Linked DNA regions of Caenorhabditis elegans. The protein of the gene in region 1 purifies or fractionates together with the protein of each later gene. This does not show direct contact. Each region holds a gene or a part of one and is shown on either strand. Other genes may lie near its edges.

Evidence for each region.
Region 2: the proteins of ndk-1 (region 1) and dyn-1 purify together in Caenorhabditis elegans (affinity purification with western blotting; one study listed by BioGRID). This does not show direct contact.

The regions. Positions count from the first base shown.
Region 1 is NC_003279.8:10,547,044-10,558,378, reverse strand, and holds ndk-1 (Nucleoside diphosphate kinase), read left to right. Parts: upstream 1-4,465; 5' UTR 4,466-4,584; coding exon 4,585-4,637; intron 4,638-4,718; coding exon 4,719-4,812; intron 4,813-4,870; coding exon 4,871-5,185; 3' UTR 5,186-5,260; downstream 5,261-11,335. Other genes in the region: F25H2.7 (Nucleotide-diphospho-sugar transferase domain-containing protein), read right to left, coding at 1-12; cert-1 (Ceramide transfer protein), read right to left, coding at 748-875, 924-1,056, 1,109-1,511, 1,560-1,657, 1,863-2,018, 2,401-2,589, 2,636-2,950, 3,319-3,438 and 2 more; F25H2.4 (MPN domain-containing protein), read right to left, coding at 5,454-5,622, 5,673-5,971, 6,278-6,400; F25H2.3 (ANK_REP_REGION domain-containing protein), read right to left, coding at 8,503-8,619, 8,670-8,798, 8,842-8,910, 8,964-9,032, 9,445-9,537, 9,592-9,627, 9,690-9,742, 9,800-10,035 and 2 more.
Region 2 is NC_003284.9:15,562,542-15,577,111, forward strand, and holds dyn-1 (Dynamin), read left to right. Parts: upstream 1-6,379; coding exon 6,380-6,546; intron 6,547-6,611; coding exon 6,612-6,835; intron 6,836-7,016; coding exon 7,017-7,623; intron 7,624-7,668; coding exon 7,669-8,172; intron 8,173-8,219; coding exon 8,220-8,495; intron 8,496-9,029; coding exon 9,030-9,309; intron 9,310-9,413; coding exon 9,414-9,799; intron 9,800-9,972; coding exon of another isoform or gene 9,973-10,021; exon of another isoform or gene 10,022-10,054; intron 10,055-10,335; coding exon 10,336-10,408; downstream 10,409-14,570.

The DNA.
Region 1 (11,335 bases):
AAGAGCCCGCATTTAAAGATCAATATTCAATTCAAGAGAGAAAACACCGAAGCATACTGAAATTAAAAAATTAAACTAAGGAAAAAAGAGTACTGTAATTCATACTCTCGTTGCAGCGGACTTTTCATAACTTTTCTCACGATTTTCAAAATATATAAGTTTTTATTACATTTGAAATTTTTTAACATTTTAACAATTAAAAAAAAGTTTTTTTCGAAAACACTAAATATGAAAAATTAATAAAAATCTTACACAAACTAAAGTTTAAAACTACAGTACTACCCCTTGAATTTAATAAAATCTTGCCGTGCCAAGACCTTGTACCGTATTTCTGGAGCAAAAGTTTGTATCTGGACAATAAATAATTTTTTTCCGTTTTTTTTGGAAAACACAATAATTTCGCAAATTGTGAGTCTTAAAGGCTCATGTACAATTTTTTGAAATAATATTTCAGTCGTTTCGAGGATATCCTAACTTTGGTTAAAAAACAACATGTGGAGATGAACCATTACATTCGAAATGTCTAACCAAATTTTGAATAAACTTTAAAATTTCATTGTGAAAATTATTACACATATGGGAAAAATTCCTAGATGCTTTATCAATCAGTTAGTTCAGTTCACAACCAAGTAGCTAATACACGAAAAACGACTATTGTACATTATAAGTTACAGAATTTTCAGAAAAAAAGGACCATCGGGAACGGAATACACATGAAATGGCACATCAGAAGTTTATTAGTACATTTTAAATGCTGACAGGCTTTCCCTTCACATTCTTTTTGACGAATTCGGTGAAAGTTCTCAAAAATTTCGGATATTCTTTTTTGTAGACGTGACGAAGAGCTGCAGTTGGTACCCATCCGCCGGGGTGAACTGAAAATTAAATTTAAAAATTAAAAAAAAAGAAAACTATGGTATTACCTTGCGAAACATAAATAATATTGCATTTAACATCATCTCTCGTTAATTTTCGATCAATATGTGGATCCTTCACTGTAGTCTCACAGATCATTGATACCGTTAGTCCAACTCTCACAGAAGATGAGGATCCAAGCTGAAAGTTTCAGTTACAATTGATTTAATGTTTTTTAAATTCAAAAACCTACCGGAACATCGGCTCTTTGAATATCTCTATTGCACACAATATACAAATCATGTGCTCCATCCCTCTTGTGCTCATCAACTCGTCGAATGTGTGAAACGAATAATGATTCTCTCGGTGCAGCAGGCCAAACTGTTTTATGTTTCTGATGTAGAACCACAGAATCCGGTGAAATGTGCTCAACAACGCTCATCGCTTCCAGCGTATGGTCCCATTGCATTTTATACCGTGCATCATAGAAATAATGCATGAATTCCAGTGCAGTGACACCATCAACTGCATGTATCGCCTTTAATGGATCAACAGGAACACCTCCTTCATCTTCAATTTGTCTTGTATACATTCTCATTGGACCGTCTTCAGCGAACAGACTCCATACATTATCCTCAGCACCGGCAAGAGCATATCTAGAAATATTGAGAATTTGAAAATGATTTTTAAAACGATAAACTTACTTGAGCTGTTCTAGAGCGAGCTTATCGATTGTGGTGTAAAGAGAGTGTTCTTGGCTCACGAGGAGGTCGTCATAGTGACCAGTAACTGGGTTTCCTTCCTGCAATAGCACATGTTTTAGTAGAGAAATATGGAAAGTTTGGCAAAAACTCTCGTTTCTGCGAATTTTATTTTAATTAATTTTTTATTTATAGATGTATTTATTTAAAACTTATATTAAAATTAAAAGGCGCGTACACTTCTCGCATTTAATAAAAAAGGCGCTAAAAATCGCAAAATTTTGCATCCTTGTAATATGAGCTTACAATTCTGAAGCTAGTCTTCTTTTTCTCTTCCTCTGGAACAACTATATTTCCATTTTTCTTGTCTTCCACCTCTTCTTGTCTTTTTTCAACGGTATCTCCATTTTTCGAGTCCACATCAAACTCGTCGGCGTCAAAGAACTCATCACAATCACTTGTCTGAATGAGAAATATGCAAATTTGCAAGAATTGTAAATTTTAGAAATTGTCTGGCGTATTTTTTGCGATAGATTCATAAATTTTTGATCCGAAATTGATATAAAAAATGTATTTAGAAAATAATTTCTTTAAACTTTAAATTTTGCAGTAAGTTCTGAAAAATGCTCAATAACAGTGCCAAGCTTTCGTTACACTGATCGGGGAGCAAAATGACTTTGAAGCAAGTATAGAGCATTTTTAGAACATTCTAAAACTTATCTGAGAGTTATTTTTTTACTGAAAAATTGATTTAACATAATCTTATAGATAAGAATTAGGATTTTAAAACTTTTTTGGATTTTCTTTTCTCGAAATTAAATTTACATATTAACAAAAAACTCACCACATCAATATCAGGTCTTGCAATAATCGTAGAAGTTGTCATTGTTGAATTATCGTCAGACATGTATTCTTGTTCAACAATAGATTCACGACGAAGAACAGAAGAAGAAACACTTCTAGTTGCACATAAAGGTTCCCGAAATGGTGGTGGAGTGGATGAAGAAGAAGATGGAATGTTTGGTATTACCACCTGAAAATTATTTGATTTAATTCTCAAACTATCAGCAAATTGTTACTTTAGAAGTCTTGACGAGATCCACGATATGATTAATATTAACAATCAATGCTAAATGTGTTGCTTTTACTGATAGAATCGTGGCTTGTGGGACAATACAACTGGCTCCACCTTGTTCCAGAAGTCTTTCGATTGATGTCATCTGATCCTTGCACATAGTTCGGTATGCTTCGAGTTCGGAGAGTTTCGTGGCAAAAAGCTTCGTTGATTCATTATCATCAGATTTTTGATTATTAGTAGCAAGAACTGAGGAAACCGATGGATTACGGGAATGACTTTTAGTGCTAGTCGAGCTATAATCCGAATCGTTTTGTACCTGAAAATTATTGATTTTCCCATTGAAGTTTTAACTTGATTTCTCTGATTCTAAAAGTAGAATTTCGAAGTGAACGATTTTTTATATTTTATAGCCTCGTACTATTCCCGAACTTTCAATTGACTTTTGTGTGCCACCGTCCGTACTATATATTTACACGGGATGACAAAATCAGGTAAAGATCAACAATGGTGTTTTTGATGTAAAAAGGAACATAAGAGAGGTGTTTGAACTATGATCGGAGCATATTTAAACGAAGAATATACAACTTTTTATCTCGTAATTACTCCGAGAGAATCGCTGGGGAAGTAATTTTTTGAAAAAATTATGTTTTAAAAATACCAAATTCAGATTCAGAAAACACTCACTGTTTCCCGGACAACTGATCGCATCCATAGAAGTTTTGACTGTGAATTCTCTGCTTTCAAATACCAGACAACGTTTTCGCCCATAGATATTGAGAATTCGTTTTCATCAAATTCGTGGGCCTAAATTTTTAAATATACAAGAACTTTCTGAGAAATCAATAAAAGCTCACAGCTATTATTGCACTTTTGAGAAATATGCTTCCTCTGCATCCGTGGGATTTTTCGGCTTTTGACAGATAATAAACAAGATTTCCCTCTGTGATTTCAAAGTATCGATCTTGCCATCCATTCACGTAGTTTGTCCATTTTTTCATCACCCCATTCGTGGGAAGGACACTGGAATGAGATAAATTATATTAGAATTTATCATTGAAACAATTTCTGTAATTTAAAATATCTACAAAACTCACACTTCGCTCTCCATCGGCTTCGTTCGCGAATCAGCAGGTGATAAATGATAAGACAGAGGCTCTCTTTCCGAGAGACTTTCCCCGTTTCGATACAGTTTTGCTCTCACTTTGTTCTGCAAACAAAGCTCACGGTTTGGTAGGCAAACAGTTAAATGGTAGTCGATGGCAGAAAAGAAAGAGTATAGACAACCTTACATTTAGTCGATTCTAAACATAGGGCGTCGAAGGTGGCGAATATGGGAGAACCGGTTTCCTTGTACTGCAAATAGTTTTGTGAAGTAGTGTCTGAAACGAAAAAAGAAATTTGCGGAGCCAGGTCATCAAGCATGAAATAAAGTTCGACGCGTAACGAGGCACAATAGTTTAATGGGAATATGCAGAGCGTTTGTGCTTGTTGCATGGAGACACGAAAAGCAGACATAAGTCATAGAACTTGAGACAAAGTGTAATAAACTATTTATGTCACACGCGTTTTTTCAGATATCAAATGCAGCGATTCACTTCTCAATGTGTTTTGACGTTACAGGTGACGTTAAATTCCGATTTTTGTTCAATAATCCCGATGAAATTTCATATGAAGAAAACCAGTTTGACAGAACATAATTCTCGCAAAAGGTTCAATTGGTGTCCAAAAAAATTGGTCGAAAACAGTGGTCAGTAAAGGCGCTCCATTGCAATTCTGGCACAAAGCCAAGAATGCTGCGAGGTCGGGTCTCGCCACGTGCTGAAGTACGGTTACACTCGTTTCATTTGTGTCGGAGTTGATTGAATGGGCGCCGGCGGGTTATTCTTTTCACTTGCGTTCGTCGCTGTCGCCTGTGCTGTTGACACCTGTTCCAAGTTGGATTGTCCGAAAATGAGCAACACTGAGAGAACCTTCATCGCCATCAAGCCTGATGGAGTCCACCGGTTAGTTATCTTTGAAGAAACTTATTCTAGCATCCTCAATGGATTTTAGGATTTTCAAAATCCTAATTTTTTAAATTTCAGTGGTCTCGTCGGAAAGATCATCGCTCGTTTTGAAGAGCGCGGATACAAGCTTGTTGCTCTCAAGCAGATGACCGCCTCCAAGGCCCATCTTGAGGTACGTTTTCACGAAATTACAAAATTTTAGGCCCAACCAGTTAAATTATTATTTTTAGGTTCACTACCAAGACCTCAAGGACAAACCATTCTTCCCATCCCTCATCGAGTACATGAGCTCTGGACCAGTCGTCGCCATGGTCTGGCAAGGACTTGACGTCGTCAAGCAAGGACGTTCCATGCTCGGAGCTACCAACCCACTCGCTTCCGCCCCAGGAACCATCCGCGGAGACTTCTGCATCCAAACCGGACGCAATATCTGCCACGGATCCGATGCCGTTGACTCTGCCAACCGCGAGATTGCTCACTGGTTCAAGCAGGAGGAGATCAACGACTACGCCAGCCCATTCATCAACTCATGGGTCTACGAATAAACTGATTGCTTATGTCTCCCGGTGTTTTCACCGTTTTCGTATCTCTGCTGAATGTTGATAAAGTATTGCTTCCCACCTAAAACATCGTTTTTGTTGACATCTATTCCTGCGCATTCTCTAATGCGTTTTCATGGCAACCAATCCTACACGACTCAGCTGTCATCAAATCTTTTATTCAACCCGAAAACGGAAGGGGATTAAACATATAATATATTCAGATGACTGCAATAAGTTATGAAAACACGAATTAGGATAATAATTTCAGCTTTTAAGCTCTGAATTCCGCCACTTGCACGAGTTTGTTGCTCAGATTTGTGTTATAGAAGTCGAACTCGGGATTGTCCAAATGGTTTTCGAAATCGGAAAGCTCTCGGTACAACTTCTTCTGAATAACAGCTTGAAGGCCACGCAAGAAGTTGGAACCTTGGAAAATCGTTCTGAAATGAATATACTAAATGAATATATAACATCAAATGTTTTTTCCTACTTCGTTTCTTTCCAACTATCTCCATCTTTTTCATATGCCACGAGGCGGTCTTGTTCACAATCTGACACCAGTCTTTCGTTCATCACTTGTACGAGAATCGCTGCCGAAGAGGTAACAGAAGATATTCTGTCGGCGAGTCGAGTGGCATAAACGTTGAGAGAAGTGTCCGATGGAGTTGCATTTGAGAAATAGACGCCGACGAGGGAGGCACCAAACTTTCCATGGACGAGGGCTGTGGCAAGTTCCAGAGGAGGTGCGAGTGGAGTGGATTCATGGCAAAGAGGAACACAACTTGTTACCTGGAAAATAAATTATCAGATAGGATGGCAAATTCATTAAATTAAAACATTTCCCTGACTCAGAAATCTAGTATCGCATAACTCTTCTCAAAACGTAGAAAAGTATTTTTTATGCTCTCTTCAGCAACTGTTCATCATTTTGAGGTGGAGAGCGTAATTATTTTTTCTTGCTTTCAGCTTAGCAATTCTAATATATCGATAATTGGTATTAAAGACGACTGTCTTTGGAGAAAATAAGCGTACCGACATGACGATCAACTAATTTAAAATGTTCGCATTTAATGAATTAAACAAATAAAATTGTACCGTGACTTTGTCTCCTTTCTTGTTTCCAATCAGCAGTCCAAAAACACCCTTTGCCGGGTATTTCAGGCAGTGAAGGATGATTGTCGAGTAGGGGAGAGCCTGTGTTTCGACTTGATGCTTCATCTGCAAATTACTTGAATTTTAGCGAATTTTGTTTATTATTTGAAATCATCTAACAAATTTTAGGTATTCAGGATTGTATTGAACAATAAAAGAAGTTGAATACAGCGGTTTAATGAAAATAAATTAAGAAAAACAGTTATAACGTTGTTCTCTCTCGAAAATCGTCTTTAAAATTGAGTTATATTACATGAATAGATTGTTTTAGGAATAAATAAAATTAAGAAACATTTTAAACTGGAATCAAACCATTAAAACAATAAAAGAATCTCGAACACTCAACAAATATAAACTAAAAATCGTTAATTCCAAAGAGAGCATTTGTATTCTCAATGGAGCGCACTTGCGCAGAAAATTTATCAAATAAAAAAAAGGAGGGAAACAAGAAATTTCAAATGATTTTGATGTTTTTAAAGTTTAATTCGGATAATAATCATAAAATTAGGGAACAGAAAATCAAAAATTACATAAAATCTATGAAGTTCCTGATGAGAGCTCTTGAGCTCAATAATTCGATTGAAAATTCGTTAAGATTGGTGGAGCACAGCGCCTCAAATCGGGAGAGTTAAGAAAATTGAGAATTGGAAAGTCCAACGGAGCGCGCTTGCACACTTTTACGGTATTAAATGAGTTTCAGACGAAATTTCGCGATTATTCGAGTTTTCAAGATGAAATTTGGAAAAAATAATTAAATATTGGGATTATTATTGCTTTAAAAAAGTTTTAAAAAACATTTTATTGAACAAATTCAAGATTTGGCTGCTTTTTCATTGATTTTCGAACCGACTAGAACAAGTTAACTCTATGACAAAATTTCTACGCGAAACAAATTTTTTCAAGCATTAATATGTTTGATTCCAATTTTTAAACGTCAGCTTGATAGAAATAACACGGTTTCAAGTCTTGAAATTGTTCAAAAATGCACAAATCAACGGAAACTGTTTAGTTGGCAGCTGATCTTCACTAAACCAACACTAAATGTTCAGATCAAATCACAACTTGTTTGATCATTTGAAAAAACATTTTTGAATCATTGTTTCCCACAAAAAGCAGATGATAAGTAGTATAGCATGATGAGAATCCATATGATTCTTCATATGCGCATAGCTATAAATACTGTAACTTCGACAACTCCTATCTCCTCAGAGAGGCAAGATATCAAAAAGTGATTAACTAAGAAATTGCAGAACATATCAAAAACTATACTAATTAATTAAAATCATGTGTTTATCTCTTAAGATGAGGGAGTTAGAGCAGCCAGTATAATAACAAAAAGTATGCAATACAAATGTACGTCTAACTCCCCCATCTTGAAAGATAAAAACGTAGGTTAAATTGAATATCATAGTTTTTGATGTGCTCTACAAGGTCTCAGTTGATCACTTTTTGGTATCTCACCTCTCCGAGTAGATAGGAGTTGTCGAAGTTGAGGTATCTAGAGCTGCAGAGGGTAGGAAGAATCTGATGGTTCCTTATTAAGGAAAAGAAAATATAACACGAAACTTGTAATAAATGTTAATTTGATCATTTATGTGAGTATTTGAGCCATTTTTTAAGGAAAATTGGAGAGCAACACTTACATAAGAAATTTGGCGTGGCATAGATCCATTGGTAGATTGGGACATTGAAATTTGATCAGAACTATTTTATTTTTAGTGATTTTGATCGATTTGTAGCTTTATTCTAGTGAAATCTTCGATTTCATAAAAGGTTTTTAACCAATTTTGCAAGATTTCCCTTGATAAATGTTGCTTTCCTTTTTTATCGATTTCGTTGTAAAGAAAAATCATTTTTCTGTGTTATCAGTCAAATTAATGACTAAAACTCTTTAAAACGATTCAAACTATTAGCAAAAATTCTAAAATTGAATATTTATGCAATAAATTGCTCTAAAATCAATTTTTGTTTGCAAAATTCTGTTTTTGGTCATCAAAAAAAATTTTCAGATTTGCCGAAATTCAGAGCTCATTTCGAGCTTATTTGGGGAAAAATTTATATTAAAATGAAGTAAATCGCATCGCAAACAGTCTCTGGGCGGTCCCGCATGTTGAAAATTGCTTTAAAATCCCTAAAATCCAGCAAAAACGCGATATTTTACTGTTTTGCTACACATTAATTCCAATTCGTGCGACGTCTGCAGCAAACGCGCTCCCGCGCCAAAACCACTTTCTTTTTCTCTCCCGATCTGAGGCGCTGTGTGGAGTTGAAACTGGAAGATAAAGCTGAAAAAGATTTAGAATTGTATTATTTACATTAAATATGAAAAACGAACCATTCCAATTAAAGAATAAGGAAAGTTATATGACGTATCACATGGAATAATGAGTCCAGGACCGTCGTGTCTTCCAAAATTTTCTCGCATTCGACATACTTCATTTCTGGTTTCCAATTCTCGATAAATCTGCAATTTTTATATTTGGTTCGAATCTTTGTGGAATATTCACATCTTCAAATCTTGTTCGTTTCATTTCCAAATTCAAAATATTCGCTTTCGAAGTTTCTTCATAAATGTTCTGAAAATCCTAGCTCTTATTTTTAGGTTCTGAATTAATATCAGTCTACTCACGGTTTCTTGTTCACAAATCAGGTGATTTTGCTCTTTTTCTTTGCCATGCTGATCTTCGTTTGAAGATCTCTAAAAATATCCAGGTTCAACATTCGAGTTTTGTTTTTATCTGCAGTCTTGCCAGTTTTGAACTACCCAGGCGCGAAATTCAGCGATTGCTGGTTCAAAAATACGGTACCTGGTATTGAGACGACAATTTTTTTTCAAAACAAAAATATATGTGCCTTCAAAGAGTACTGTAGTTCCAAACTTTCGTTGGTTTTTCATAGCTTTTCGATAAAAATTTATTTCTTTATTCAAAAACTTATTTAGAACATAATCAGCGAAAATATTCGCAAAATTTCGCATCTGGGTAATATTTGAAACTTCATAAATTTTTCAAATCTAGTGAACTATTTTGTGGAATATGGAATGTGTAGCGATCGCTATAACAAAGATCGTGGCGAGACCCACTCAGGAAAACATCGTGTGACTTACGTACATTGATAATTGGATTTTCCTGTGTCTTCCATGAATCGCTTTCAGTGACTTCCAACATCTGCATTTCTTCAACCTCTTCTGCCAAGTGAATGCTCTGAAAATAAAAATAAGCGTTGAAAAAAATCCTCGCAAATTTCACAAAACTAACCGGTTTATCAGACCCTATTGTATTCAGCTGTCCTGTCTGAAAATTAAAAAATTTAAAGTTAACAGCCACAATATGAAAAAAAAAGAAAACAATATCACCTCAATTTTAATTTCTTCCTGTGATTTCTGATAATAAATCTCATCTCTTCGATCTGAAATTCACTAATATATTATACATTTATCATTGAAAAAACAGCTCACTTCTTTACATTTCATATCATTTCTCAGAAGAATATTCAACAGATCACAACCAGTTTTCACTTTTTTATTGATCAAATCCATCCGAACTCCAATATCCATTGCAAGACGGAACATCTTCAAAATCGTTTCTCGATCACTTTGGAAATCAATTATTTTATTATCTTTTCCGATCATCATTATTAGAATATCATGGATTAGTCGATTTCCATTTGAAAGACAAATTGCTTCAGGGTTGGCTCCGACTCTGAAGATTTTGTTTATAAACTCAGAACTCTATATAAAAAAGACTGAAAATAATTTCAGAAAAATGATGTATAGGGAAAAATAGATTTCACTCAGAAATAAATATTTTGAAAGTTTGCAACACTCCATCAATTTTTGTTGATCTACATCTCACTTACTCTAACAGAATTCTGACATTTTCCGGTTGCATATTCAGTACTGCCGTACTCGAGCAAGTATTTTTTGCGTGATCAGTCGCGTTGGGATTGGCTCCTTCTGAATGTGAGAAAATGAGAATTTAAGTTCAATTATACTAAACATACCATTAAGAAGTTTTATGATTTCAAATGGATTATCCACTTTACAAGCTCGCATCAATCTGTCCTCACCTTGTTTGTTCGGGTCAGCTACATATTTTGTCACAACAGTGGTTTCAGTCTAAAATATTTTATTTTAAGGAGATTTTCGTGTCTTTGAGGTAGGAATGGTCATGCATAATTTGTTACTGTCAAACAAAAGGATTGAGTTAATACTATCTAAAAATAAATTCCCAACATACATAAAACCTGATCGTAATTGTGAGCAACTCGTACCATTCGAGATCTTGTTACTCGACCATTGTGTGCCAGTTCTTTTTTTGCCCGTAATCTGAAATTTTAGATTTCTCATTCCAATGATCAAATATGGAATTAGTCATTCCGTGTAGCTCATTCCGTGCACGGCGTTTAGCTAATAATATTGCGTTTCCATAGTTCTGAGGCATATCTGTAAAAACTGTGTCAAACGTAGGTAGGCATAAGGCAGGTAGGCATGATAGAGGTAAGTATGTATGTAGGTATTAGGCTGGCACTTAGGCATACAGGTATGAGGTGGGCTCGAAAGCAGGCATAAAAGAAGACATGAAGTAGATAGGTAAGCATGTAGGAAACCATGAGACAGGCTTGATGTAGGCACGGGAGTAGACATGTTATGAGACAGTCAGGCATAATGAGGCACGTAGGTGGCAGACATTGAGACAGGTTAGCAGGAGGCCAACACTTACGTAAGTGATATAGAAACATTATACAGGTATCAAGACAGGTAGGTATGCATGTAGACTAGCAGGTATGAGGTGGGGTCAGGAAAAGGTAGAAAAATAGATATAAATTAAAGACGCAGGCAAGCATGAAGTAGGTACGTAGGTAGGCATTAGACAGGCATGAAAAATGCATGAGATTTATGTAGGCAGGCTCGAGGTACATTTTGTACATTTTGTGAGAAATACAATTTTTGGATGTCGTTTTTATGCAACAAATTTCAAATCAAATGTTTTTTTTTTCAAT
Region 2 (14,570 bases), on another chromosome or scaffold:
TTTGAATTCGAGTTGCCAATGCTGACATTCCAAAAGTACAGTATAAAAAATGTAAGACAACAATTTTTTTGGTCGACTTCCAAAGTATGAGTGTCAAAAACTGAGTAATTGCCGCAATAATTTTTTAAAAATGTTGTGAAACGTTTTATTATGATACCAGCCGTGGACCGCACCTCCGGCGCGGCCCCCGACTTCTGGGGCTGAAAATTTTTTTTTTCTGAAATAACCGTAATCCTACAGTATTCCTACCGTACCGCTATTGTACCACTACAGTACCTCAACTATATCCCTACACTAACCCCAATTCACTATCCCTCCAGAAGCCAAAACTTCACCGACTACAAAAACTACATAGACTACACACAAGGTCACACAGAATAAGCACTTTATATATAGTAAATGATTCTGTCATTTTGGCACCATAGGAGCAGTTTTTCACACTTTACCCGCTACTAACTTCTAGCAGTAAGTTACTTCACCTTAAAAAAAGCTTTGCATCACCCTCTTCGACGCAGTAAACATTACAAGTTGGAATTTATTCATTTTTTTGGACTAAACTTTGAATGTATGAAGATATTGTACTCCTTGAAATCTTTCGCCTCATTGGTTCTCAGCATGTCAAAGTTTTTATTTGAGGAAAAACCTAGAGAAAAAACTATTGAAATATTTCATATGTTTTTTTCCTTATTTTTTCTTCTTCGTTTTCAACTTTTTCTCTCAATTTCTTTTTTTGAAAACAAGTTTCAAGATTTTATTTCTCGACTTTACACGATTTAATCATTTTCTCCATCAATTTTTAAAACAACACAATTTGTGAATTGTATGTACATAATTCTATTGTTTAGTGACTAACTAAACTTGTAAGTCGATATTGCTGATCATAATATAAACTTCTGTAGATATCTTATTTCATTCCATTTCACTCTGACGTTTTCCTTTTCAACATTTCCATTTTGAAAAAAAAAATTTGTGTTTCAAAGTCCCTTTTTCCTTCTTTTTTTTATAGGGCTCGTTATTATTGACATTCATTTTCTGAATAAGAGAAAGAAAAAAATGCGGAAAAAAGTGAGCGAAGCCCATTTTTAGAGAGAAAATTGCCCATTTCTTTCTTTCTGCCCGTTGATTTATTCACTGCCTACAATTTCTCATCCAGTTTGGAGGGCAAGCTGCTTCCTAGTGAGAGCTCCGATTTCCACAAGTGCGTGCTTGCTGGAAAGCTTCACATGTTTTTGATGCGTTGGAAACTTTAACTTGGGCAATACGCTGTAGTGGGTTTAGTTTTCAGACTGTTGTTTATTTGAGTCCAGGCTTGGATTGAAATATTTTTTGAAATCTTAGCGTCGTGTGCAAATTTTTTCAAAACATATATCAGAGCTATTTATGCTGAATAGTACCAATAAAATTAAAAAAAAAAACATTATGTAACGAACATCTAGGTTTATTTCATGTTTTAGAAAATTAGCTAAAATGTCCAAATAAAACTGGTGAAAAATGTTATTGAAATTTCTAAATTTTATTTCTAAATTTAATGTACATTTATATTTTCGATTTTACTATTAGTAGTTTTATAAACCGAAATATAACTTTTCAAAATAAATTAGTAGCTCAATTTGAAATAGGGTACGTTCCTAAAACATGTGCCTCTTTTTTTTGCCATACTTTAAATTTTATTGCTATCGTTTTTCTCTTAAAATCAATATCATTATGCAGCCATTTTCACGTTTCATGAGCCCACTGTACTTTTATGTGAGCCACACTCAAAAGGAAATTGAGCCGAAATGCTCTCTTCCTCTATCTTCCGAATTTTTAACGAATCCTATACTTTGTTTGATTAGTTTTATTTTGAATTTGCCATTTATATTCCTTGCAAAATGTTAAAGCTGTAGTGTCACACCATAGCAATTTGTGGTCTCTTATTCTAAACTTTGGTCATTTACAATCGGTGGAAAAAAAAGGTTCATAAGCTGCCTTCGTTTACCCATGTGACCGTGGGGGTTATGTGGCTGTGCGAGACAAAAAGAAACAGACACATGAGGTCTTCAAAAGTTGAGTTGGATTCCTATGGGAATCATCAAAAAATCGTTTCCGAATTTAGATGGATATGGGTTAGTGAAGAAGTGCGATCTATGGTCATGAACTTTTCTCAAGTAGTTCTGAGTTGCTCAAGCGGAAGTTTTTCATTTGCAGCAAATCGTTTTCGTGTAAATTTGGACTGGTTTTTATTAGTGATGTTATTATTGTTCAAAGACCTATAGTTTAAAAACTATTTTAATAATTCGGCCTTATGATTGTACCGCACACTTTAATTTAGCATTTAATCTACATATTTTGGAAAAAGTTATGAAACATAAGCAAATGAAAGCCGTGTGCGTTTTCTGGTATTTTTTTGAACAACATTCTCAAATTTAGGGTTCGTGGGCTTAACTTTGTTTAATTGCCATTTTATGGTGTTTCTAAATTAAGTAAAAAGAGACTCTTATGATGTAAGCCATTTAAGTTTAGAAGAAATTGCCCAACTATGTACAATAATTAGTAAACTTTGAATCTTAACTGAATATGTCTTTCTGTGGCGTGCGGCAAATCCCAAAACTTGCCGAGCTTGGCAAATTCGGTAAATTCGCCGTGCTCAACAAACTCCGAAAACGTAGATATTTTTTTTAAATGTTTTTTGGAGCATCAAAATTACTGAATCATAACTACTGTAATTTGCCGAATTTGCCGGGCTCGGCAAACTCGGCAAGTCACTTTTTTTGAAATTTGCCGTGCTCGGCAAAATTGGCAAATTTGCCGAGCTTGGCAAACGGCAAATTCAGCAAATTTGCCGCACATCCCTGGTGTTTTTCGAATAAAGAACATTTATAAATTGATTACTTTTATTGTGAACATTCAACTTTTGAAATACTCGATTTTTTTTTAATTTTCCAACACCTGTTCTAATTCCGCAGCATTTATCCCAATGCCACAGGACAGCTGCTTCCAAATGTCCTTCCATCTTGTCAATATAAAACATGGACAAATGTTCAAAAATTAAAGCTTTATATTTTCCAAATTTTGCTTCTTTTTTTTCGCTAAGCATTTTTTGTTTTTGCGTGAAGGCAAGGAGATATTTGAAATAAATCAAATTTTGCCAATTAGACGACTACGGCGTCCCTCTGGATACAAGCCTCAGAACTTCCATGGAGTTTTCGTTTCCAGCGATTGCTTTTGACGTTTTTTTAGGATTCAAAATTTATTCTTATTCAAGAATAGCATCATTTGAAATTGAGTATATAAATCCAATTCAAACCAGTTTTGTTGAATTTCAAACTCTAAGTTGAGTCTTAAATGTATAAACATGAACTGCTCCTGGTATCCTTAACCAGAATGGATAGCGCGTTTAAAGGTGGAGTAGCGCCAGTGGGGATTTTGTCTAAATACACTTATACTGATCCAAAACAACCGAATATCATAATAAAACACTCCAAAAAATTTTAGATTTTTCAAAATATCCGGTCAAAGTTTAGGAAAATTGCCAAAATTTTGTAATTGTCACATTTTGACAGTAAATAAAAAATTTTCAAAATATTTTTGAAAAGTTTTATTGTGATATTCGGTTAGTTTGGCACCATAGAAGTAGTTTTTAACACTTTCCCCCGTGGCGCTACTCCACTTTTAAGTATAGATGACAGTTTGTTTTACAAGGATGTGAGAATACAAAAATTATTGTTAAGCACATTTCATGGCTCTATGAATGTGAATGTGGTTTTTATAACGCTTAATTTATAAAAATGTTGTCTTGCAGAGGTCTCTTCAAAATTTTTGATACTAACACACTTGTGAGCAGTGTTCTAGAACTCAATGGCACAGTTTTCAATAGATATTTGAAAATTTCCTATTGCATATTGTGTAAATTTAGCTTTGAAAATAATTGTATGTCGAAAAATATTTGTTTTTTCCAGTTTTTTTTCAGTCCAGCTATCCGTCCGTCACTATGCAATTTCAAATACTTTGTTAACAAAATATATATCTAGACACTGGTTAGATTTGGAACGAAAACAAAAACTTTCTTCTCTTCCTTTTCCTTTTGTCGTTTATTCTGTGAGTTTGGCTTAGCAAGCCTCCCGGACCACGACGTCGTCATCGGCGCCGTCAGTGCTCCGCGTTTTTTTTTGTGGAGCCAAGAGAAAGAGGGCAGAAAGAGCTTCAAACTGCGGTCGGGAGCTCTAACACACACGTCTTGCTTTTCTTCTTCTGCTTTTGCTCTCCCTGTGTGCGAGAATATGTACATACGCGAAAAATGTGCGCGCGGGGGGGGGGGGCCCCTGCCGAGTAGCAGTGCGCAGCACACATACATAGCAGAATATCGACTAATCGAAAACGCCTCCTTCCTTTTTCTTTTTTCCTTCTTTCTGCTTCGTTTTTCTTTCTTTTTCTTATTCTTATTCTTCGTTTTCCGTTTTTGTTTTCTTTTTCTTCCTTGATATTCTCCTCAGCCTGCTTTGCTCGCTATGGAGTGAAGGGACAACAAAAAACTCAGCTGTTATTTATTCCATGTTCTGTTTTGCTTTACAATTAAAAAAATCAATTGAGCTATTTTGCTAGATTTTCAATACTTTTAAACCATGTTTTATAAATGTTTTATAAATTTCAGAGCATATGAAATCATTGTACATCAACTGATTAGTCACAAATTCATTATCAGGAGTAGTATGGGAATGTTAAATTCGTTATTTGTTTACACACCGCTGGTTCTTAGTAAAATTTTCTAATAGGAAGTAACTGGAATTTGTTTGGAAACCTACAAATCTGTTAATTTCGGAATTAATATCCAAGTTTCCAAATTAGCAGAAATAAAATTTTGAAGTAATATCTGGTTGAAATGTTGTGTTTCTGCTATAAAACTTGAAAAGAAACCTTGAATCCTGCTAGAGAATCGCCTTTGGTCAGAAAATCGAACATCAGTTTTTACTGCAAGTGACAATTTTCAGGGAGTATTTGAAGCCGTTATTTTTAATCCCAACTTTTTAAATGAAAATGAGTATATTTTTCATATTTATGATATGCATATATATATGTTCAATCTATCTGTGTTAGAGCTTGATGATTATTTCGAATCGGGCGGGTTTAAAGATCTGCCAAAAAAATTTGCAGTACTACCCTGTCTTGAAAAAAAAAGAAGAAAAACTGTGATACAATTTAACAATCATGAACATACGACAATTCTCTACAAATTATAATATCATAATGAATTCCATATTTTGTTTAAACAAATTGGACTAAATGAATTTCCTCGTCTCTAATAAACAAATAGAACGTGGAAAAACCTTCTTACTAATCATGATTTCTGGTCACAATTGTGACTCGATATTTGCTAAGATGACGATTTTTCTTTTCTTCCTACGGTACTGATCGGACTGTTGTAAAAGTTTCACAATTTTGAAATATTTTATTTTATTTTTATTTTGCATAATTTCCAAAGGTCATCCATCTCATTTCCATTCTCAATAAAAAAAATTTTTAAAGTCTGCCTCTTTTTATTAAAGAAACGATGTTATTTGCTCACTAACTTCCATTCACACGTTTCCAGCGAGATAGCAGGTAAGTTGAGAGACGCAGGTGGTTAGACTACAAACAGAAGGGTGGCCGGCTGCCACCCTCTCCACACCACTATTTCACAACATTTACAATGAATTGATCTACCCGCCAAATTCTGGTTTTCGGCAATCCAAAACTGTTCGCTTTGTTTTCCACTTTTTCATTTTTCATTTCTCCTCCACTACTTATTTGGATTTTCTTTTTCAAATGTGTCCCGTTTAGTTTTTTTTTGCATCTAACAACCTTCTGTTTTTTTCCAATATTTTCATTAAACAAGCCTCCAAATTCTTCATAAAATTCCTCGTGAAAAGAAATTTCTTGTCGTGGTTACTGCTGACGCGTTTTGCGATGAGTGTGTGTTGGCACGCTCTCCGCCGTCGCTGGCCAAGCCTTTTTCTCTCCCCGCCGCAGTACTGACTGCGAGGCTGACTCACTGCGGTCATTTCGTTTGCCTCACCCTCACTTTTAGTCTCTGCATCTCCGAGTCTCTCCGCGCTTTTTTGTACGCCGATCGTTTCTTCTTCTTGTTTTCCAAACATTCAACACCGTTTTGCCGACAATGATTCTGAATATTTGTTGATTTTGTTTTTTCAAATGCGATTTGAGGATTTTTTTTTCTAATTTTATATTCTATATTCTTGAAGGTGATAAATTTCATTCTAAAACATAATTATTAAACCTCCGAAAACCTCATTGCGAAATCGTGCTTTTTCCATTAAATCTTCTCAATGCTCTTCCTCATATCATTAATCGACTAAAAAAATCGATTTTCAGGTAGTTCAGCGTATAACCACCAGGATCAGCCATGTCGTGGCAAAACCAGGGAATGCAGGCGTTGATCCCTGTGATCAATCGTGTCCAGGACGCCTTCTCCCAGCTGGGCACATCTGTCAGCTTCGAACTTCCACAGATCGCCGTCGTCGGAGGACAGTCCGCTGGAAAGTCGTCGGTGCTGGAGAATTTTGTCGGAAAGTGAGTCACAAGAAGAAAAAAAACATAACTTTGCGAAATAAAATCACAATTTTTTTCCTTTCCAGAGACTTCTTGCCACGTGGATCAGGAATCGTAACACGTCGTCCACTTATTTTGCAGCTTATTCAAGATCGCAATGAGTACGCCGAGTTCCTACACAAGAAGGGTCATCGCTTTGTGGATTTTGATGCAGTTCGGAAAGAGATTGAGGATGAGACTGATCGTGTCACTGGACAGAATAAGGGAATCAGTCCACATCCAATCAACTTGCGTGTCTTTTCTCCAAATGGTAAGCATTTAGAAACTCACAGAAACGCAAGTGCGCTGGATGATTTGAGCATCTGAAACCAGACTTATGCAACTTTTTTTAAAATTTAAATTGCATTAAAGATTTCATAAATTTACAGTGAGTTGCACAAAATCACTGGAAAAATTCACACATTTTAATTAATTCATACTTAATTTTTCAGTTCTAAATCTGACACTCATCGATTTGCCCGGTCTCACAAAAGTGCCCGTCGGAGATCAACCAGCAGATATTGAGCAACAGATCCGTGACATGATTCTCACATTCATCAACCGTGAGACTTGCCTCATTCTTGCCGTCACTCCGGCCAACAGCGATCTCGCCACTTCGGATGCGTTGAAACTTGCGAAGGAAGTCGATCCACAGGGTCTTCGCACGATTGGAGTCCTCACCAAACTTGACTTGATGGACGAGGGAACCGATGCTCGCGAGATCCTCGAGAACAAGCTGTTCACACTTCGTCGTGGCTACGTCGGAGTTGTCAATCGTGGGCAGAAGGATATTGTCGGTCGCAAGGATATTAGAGCTGCTTTGGACGCCGAGAGAAAGTTCTTCATCTCACACCCATCCTACCGACATATGGCTGATCGGTTGGGAACAAGCTACCTTCAACACACTCTTAATCAACAGCTCACCAATCATATCCGTGATACACTGCCAACACTTCGTGATAGTCTTCAAAAGAAGATGTTTGCTATGGAAAAGGATGTGGCCGAGTACAAGAACTACCAGCCAAATGATCCAGGCCGCAAGACCAAGGCTCTTTTGCAGTAAGTGATTTCAATGGAGGTGCTTTATTAACAAAATTTTTGCAGAATGGTTACCCAGTTCAATGCTGACATTGAGCGCTCCATTGAAGGTTCCTCTGCAAAGCTGGTTTCAACCAATGAGCTCAGTGGAGGAGCCCGTATCAATCGGCTTTTCCATGAGCGTTTCCCATTTGAGATTGTTAAAATGGAAATTGACGAGAAAGAAATGCGCAAAGAAATCCAGTATGCCATCAGAAACATTCACGGTATCCGCGTCGGTCTCTTCACTCCGGATATGGCGTTTGAGGCAATTGCCAAAAAGCAAATCACCCGTCTGAAGGAGCCATCGTTGAAATGCGTTGATCTGGTGGTCAACGAGTTGGCTAATGTGATCAGACAGTGCGCTGACACTATGGCTAGATATCCACGTCTTCGTGACGAGCTGGAAAGAATCGTCGTCTCGCATATGCGTGAACGTGAGCAAATTGCCAAGCAGCAAATTGGGCTCATTGTTGACTACGAACTCGCTTATATGAACACAAACCATGAGGATTTCATTGGATTCAGCAAGTAGGAGTTTAGACTTTGCTTTTAGATGTTTAATTTTATTTTTTTAGTGCTGAAGCAAAAGCCTCCCAAGGACAATCAGCGAAGAAGAATCTTGGAAACCAGGTGATCAGAAAGGGCTGGCTCTCACTGAGCAACGTATCGTTTGTGCGTGGCTCCAAGGACAATTGGTTTGTGCTCATGTCGGACAGTTTGAGTTGGTACAAAGATGATGAGGAGAAGGAGAAGAAGTACATGCTCCCATTGGATGGTGTCAAGCTGAAGGATATTGAGGGTGGATTTATGTCTCGTAACCACAAGTTTGCTCTGTTCTACCCCGACGGAAAGTGAGTTACTCAAGAATTTTGCGATTTGATTGCCATTTCAACATTCCAAGAGCCCGCACGCTTTTCTTTCCACATTAGAGTTTCATTAGGCAGAAACACAGGAACACTAAATTGAGCATGAGTTTTGAAACGAGACAAAAAACGCACACACACACAAAATCAATTTTTTTTGAATATTTGTTTAAATTAAATTAATTTGCAGGAGGTGAGTGTATAGTTTACTTTCTTCACTTCTTCTTCTTCTTTAATGACTTGTAAGACAGAAAAACCTTTGTGTTGTCGTCCTTGTGATCTGTTTTCATTTTTTTTACCCGAAAAGTTTATCCACCTTGAAACCAACACCTTTCACTTCTGTAGTCAATTTCTTATTTTTCCTGTTTCTCTTTCTCTGCTGTGACAGTTTCAGTTCAGACAAAAAAAAATACAGCATGCAAAATGCTTTTTAGATAAAAGATTCTGAACCAGCATGAAGATGTAAACTCATGTATCCTTGACCTCACGCACTTGCTTCTCCCATAACCCTTTGAATTCCAGGAACATCTACAAGGATTACAAGCAGCTTGAGTTGGGATGCACCAATTTGGACGAAATTGATGCGTGGAAGGCTTCATTCTTGCGTGCTGGTGTCTATCCAGAAAAGCAGAAGGCACAGGAAGATGAGTCCCAACAAGAGATGGAGGATACCTCGATTGATCCACAACTTGAGAGACAGGTGGAGACAATCCGTAATTTGGTTGATTCCTACATGAGAATCATTACCAAGACAATTAAGGACCTGGTTCCAAAGGCGGTGATGCATTTGATTGTTAACCAGGTGAGGGATTTTAAAAGAATTGAATGATTCATCGTGATATCATCACGGCCTGTTTTTTTAACCGTACACAATAAACCTTAAACTAAATATCTCAATAATTTCAGACAGGTGAGTTCATGAAAGATGAACTTTTGGCCCATCTCTACCAATGCGGCGACACTGATGCTCTCATGGAGGAATCTCAAATAGAAGCCCAGAAGCGCGAGGAGATGCTCCGAATGTACCATGCTTGCAAGGAGGCGCTCCGCATTATCTCTGAAGTCAACATGAGCACCCTTGGCGACCAGCCGCCGCCATTGCCGATGTCTGACTACCGCCCACACCCATCTGGACCTTCACCGGTGCCGCGTCCGGCTCCTGCTCCACCAGGCGGACGTCAGGCCCCAATGCCACCACGCGGAGGACCCGGTGCCCCACCACCACCAGGCATGAGACCACCACCAGGTGCGCCAGGAGGCGGCGGTGGCATGTACCCACCGTTGATTCCAACGTAAGTTTATGCCTATTTTTTTTCGAAAAGAGCACCAGATCTCTTCTAATCTTTCCTATTTTGGTCCGTCATACTCTTTCTTCTGTCAAAATTTTTTTTCTGAAATTTAGAAAAAAAAATACTGTCAACAAGTCAGAATAAAACCTAAAACTAACGTGTACCAACCACTCTAGGCGTCCGGGACCAGGCGGCCCACCACCCAACATGGCACCGCCTAGATAATAATGTTGTGAATAATTCCCCCACTGACCAAAGGTTTGTTAATCGCGAAGAAGCAGTACAGAGAAGTGTATAATTGTTTGTTGTAATCGTGATGTGTATTAGCAGCATCTATCTAGTGTTGTGATCCCTTGGCACTTTATCGGAACATTTTTATATTCCACTATCTTCCTGTGATTTTTTCTACAGAAAGAAGCAAAAGCTAACTTTTCTTTCTCATCAAATTTTTCATAATTTCGTCATTATTTGCATGTTTCAATGGTGGTCTAGCTTTCTGTTGTTGTAGTATTAATCTGAAACGTTGTTTTTTTTTTCAGAAGAGTACCGACACCATCCAACGGAGCACCAGAGATTCCAGCTCGCCCGCAAGTCCCCAAGAGACCTTTCTAAATGCTTTTACATCTCCATCCTAGCTCACTTGTCATACTATTACCGTTCCCATAGTAATTGTACAATGCCCCCGTTTTATCAAGCATTTCTTTTTTTTTTTTGAGAATTTTTAAATTAATCAATATCCCGAGTTCTTCCACCTTTTGAGCAAGTCTCGTTGAGGATTGCATTGGTCCCAGCGCTAACTAGGCGTCAATTCATCCACCTCTCCATTCTCTCTCCCGTTCCAACTGTGTTTTTCTTTGTCAGCGGCGAATTTTCCACAACCAATCGAGTCCTATTTCTCTTTTTTTCCCCCACCTCCCAATAATTTTATTTGCATGTTTTATAAACTCACTTTGTTCAATAATTTATTGATTTTATTTTTTCTATGATTTGAAACTTTACATTTTTCCTACTCTTCTATAGCAATACTTTGTCACTTACAATAACCCCCCCCCCCCAGTCTGCCTATATTTATTTAGATGTTCTTTATGGCCACCCAATGTATAAACTCTTTTAGTGCATTTGTAGGTTCTTTCTTCATCCCACCCAATTCCCCCTCCACCACAAATCCCAGTTTTGATTATTTTAAGCCCATATTTATAAGAAGTAAATATATTTATAGATTTTTCTTAGATTATAAGCTCTTCTAGGTTTTCCCTCGTTGAGAAGAATGATCTGAAAAAGCCTAAATTATAGATTTTTGAAACGTATTGTGTAGAATTTGTATTTATTCGTGAAAGTGGAATAAAGTTAAAACGGAAAAATGTAGTATTAGTTTTGTGCAAAACATTGGCCCTATAAATGTAGATGTAGGAAAGTCTGTTTATTCTTGGAAAAATCCCTAATTTTTGTGAAATTGTTTGGTTTGCAGCGGTCGGAAGCAATCTTGAAAATAATTATCATTTGTAATCACATTTTGGTAATTTATTACGTTTATTTTCTTCATTGATTGGTAGGTATATGTTTTCTTTCGAAAGATGAACAAATGATAGTGAATTGGTGCACCTATAAACGGAAAATATACCTTAAACAATTAATGGTTAAAAAATCCACAATGAAGAAAAGATATTAGAAAATTCCGGTTGCTAAGACATTGAAAAAAACTTGAAAAAAGACTTTGAAAACTTGACAAAATTTGGCACTTTTGAAAAGAACCCATTTAAAACTTAAAGCATGTACTAAAACGAGAACTTTATTTGAAAATTATTATATGTGTATTGCTGCGCTTGTACATTTAAAAAAAGGAACCTTTTCAATTGATACTTAAAACAAATAGAAGTTTTTTAATCCATATCCTCAAGCTTCGCAGATAAACCCTCAATATGCCAAACTCTAATAAGTAGCAATGTAACATGTTTTTGGCGCTGGTGAGTAGGTACTAAAAATTTAATAAATGTTTCCGATTTAAAATTTTAGATCTCGTCAGAATCGTTGTCAACGCAGAACTACAATTCTGGCATACTTTTGTTATAACGATATCAAATACCAAAGAACTCGTCGAAATTGCATACTTGTTGATGGAACCATCCGTTCAACTGAACGCCAGCCAGTTTATTACTTAAATGAAAACTAATTTTTCAATTGATGACGGTTAGTGACTTTAGGTTTCATTTGATCAGCGTAGTTGCTGACACTTAATGGTTCGGGAACATAAAAGAACATGTCGAACACGTACATGACGACTGCTTAAAAGTTGAAAATTTCCCATATCCGTTTCTCATTTTATGTAGTCTCTTTCAGTGTGGCTACTAACGATTTTGCAATTTTACATTATACTTTGTTTGTGAGTTTCAGGAAACTTGTGAATTCGTTCAAACCCTTCAGAATCAGAATAAAAAATGGTGCTTTGTATTTCTTAAATTTTAATAACTTTTTCACGAGCACTACATTTTAAAATTTTGTAGAAGTTGTCTGTTTGCACCCATTTAATTTCAAATGTGTCATAAGTCAACAACTGGCACGTTGAGTATACATAGAAAAGAATGATTTTACCTTTTAATATTTTTTTTGTTATAAAAGCTTGCAACATTTTTATTACCTCTATGGATAAAAAACGAAGGCTAGGAGAAAGAATCTAAAAACTCGGATTAGTTTTTGGATACAAAACAGAAGATTAGAATATTTCCCTTCACGAATTTTGAGGGTAAAACAATTTTACCGAAGTTTTCAAAGGTTTTTGTTCAAGATTCCATTCATTTTTTTTGAAATACTTCATACACGTGGTGTCAGGTTGTTACGGTTTGACTTACAAATTTTGCCCAAAAAATGAGACGTCAGCACGTTTTTAGCCATTTAAATCAGTTAAGAACTCTGTGTCTCAACTCCCGCATTTTTTGTAGATATTTGTAGATCAAACCGAAATGAGACACTCTGACACCACGAGTTCATATTGTGAAACTCTCTTGAATACTTATCACTGTGCCAACCCATGTCACACTTTTAAATACATTGAACAGTATAAAAAACTCAGGTCAAAAGTAACATTTGATTGATCCCCCCCATTTCCTTCTGAACTTTGCTTCTCCTGTTTTTGCGTCGTTTCGCCATCATCATTAAAGTGACTCTTGGACTTGAGACTCTAGTTGCTTATCGATTGGTGATTGAAAAAGTAGGAGAAACGAATCTTTTCATCTACTCCTCTTCTGCACCCGCCTTCTCTTCCTCTTCTTCATCCAGCAGTGCCATTTCTCTTCGGCAGCAAGAATGGTGTGTAAAGTGATGACGGCGCAGTTTCTTCTGGCACAGGAGTAGCACAGCACAACCTCAGCAGTAGTTGGAGCAACCCAGCAGCAGCATATTTTCGATACTCATCGAGCACTTGCCGTTGTGTTGTGTCATCCGCCAACAAATCAGCAAACAACGTTTTTTATCCCGATCATTATTTTTTTTCCTCGCTCTGGGTTGGACTTGTCTATGTTTCAATTTTTATTACAAAAATAATGGAAGAAAAACATTTGTTTGAAAATTTTAATCCCTACTTTAAAGTTATATTATATATAGAAAATAAGTCTAAAAAATGTTTTATTATTTTTTTAAATTTTATTTAAAATTTTGAAAAAAATTTCGTATGGCTGATGTCCCAGACCCATCATTTTTTGTAGTTTTCTGTTTTTCTGAAAATTTAAATGACCTTCTCCGGTTTTTCTAAGATGACGTCACATTTCAAAAACCCATTGAAACTAATTTTCAGAAAACGGAAAACTCAATAAAACTAAGCGTGAAATGGAAAAAAAATCATTTAAAAAGTTAGAAAAATTTAAAAAAAAGATTTCAATTCTACTCGGCCATTGCGATGAATTTTTTATCAATTAACGCTAAATCTGTAAAAATTAGATTAAAAACCAAATAATAAAGAAACATACAAGGAATTTCAATTTTAAAAATTGTGTCATCAAACTTTTTGAGAAACTTCAGTATTAATTTAATTTCATGGAATGCGGTTTTTTCTCTAACTTTTTAACAAAACTAGGTAGATTAAAAAATTTAAACAAGACCATATATAAGCTACTGTTTCAAATCTACCTCTGTATGTATGTACAACAACTCCTTCAAAGTGAACGTATTTGCGAAAAATGGGCTCATCACAGAAGCTCATCATTTTTTACAACATTGTATTATAAACTTGCCAGTGCGTAGCCAGCATTTTATTTAACTTTCTATGAATTTTTGATATTTTTTGAAAAAGATTTTCTCACATGGTTCTCAATTGAACACTAAAACATAATCTAAAAACTACGAATTTTGAGTTTAAAGTTTTTCAGTTTTAAAGGTGGAGTAGCGCCAGTAGGGATTTAGTCTAAGTACAATTATAATGACCTAAAACAACCAAATATCATAACAAAACACTCCGAAAATTTTCAGATTTTTTCATAATTTCGGAGCTTTGGCAAATTGCCAAATTTTGAAAAATATGAGCTTTTGAGGAAATCCAAAGCAATGTCGCATGTTCCGACCCTTACAATGTTTCAATACAAGTAATCAAAACAAAATTAAAATATAAAAAATGTAGAAAAAAATGTTTTTTTTGGTCGTCTTCCAAAATTATGAGTGGCAAAAACTGAGTAATTGTCATTTTTTGACAGGAAATAAAAAAAATTCAAAAATTTTTTGAAAATTTTTATTATGATATTTGAATATTTTAGGACCAAAGGAGTGGTTTTTAACAGTTTCCCCACAT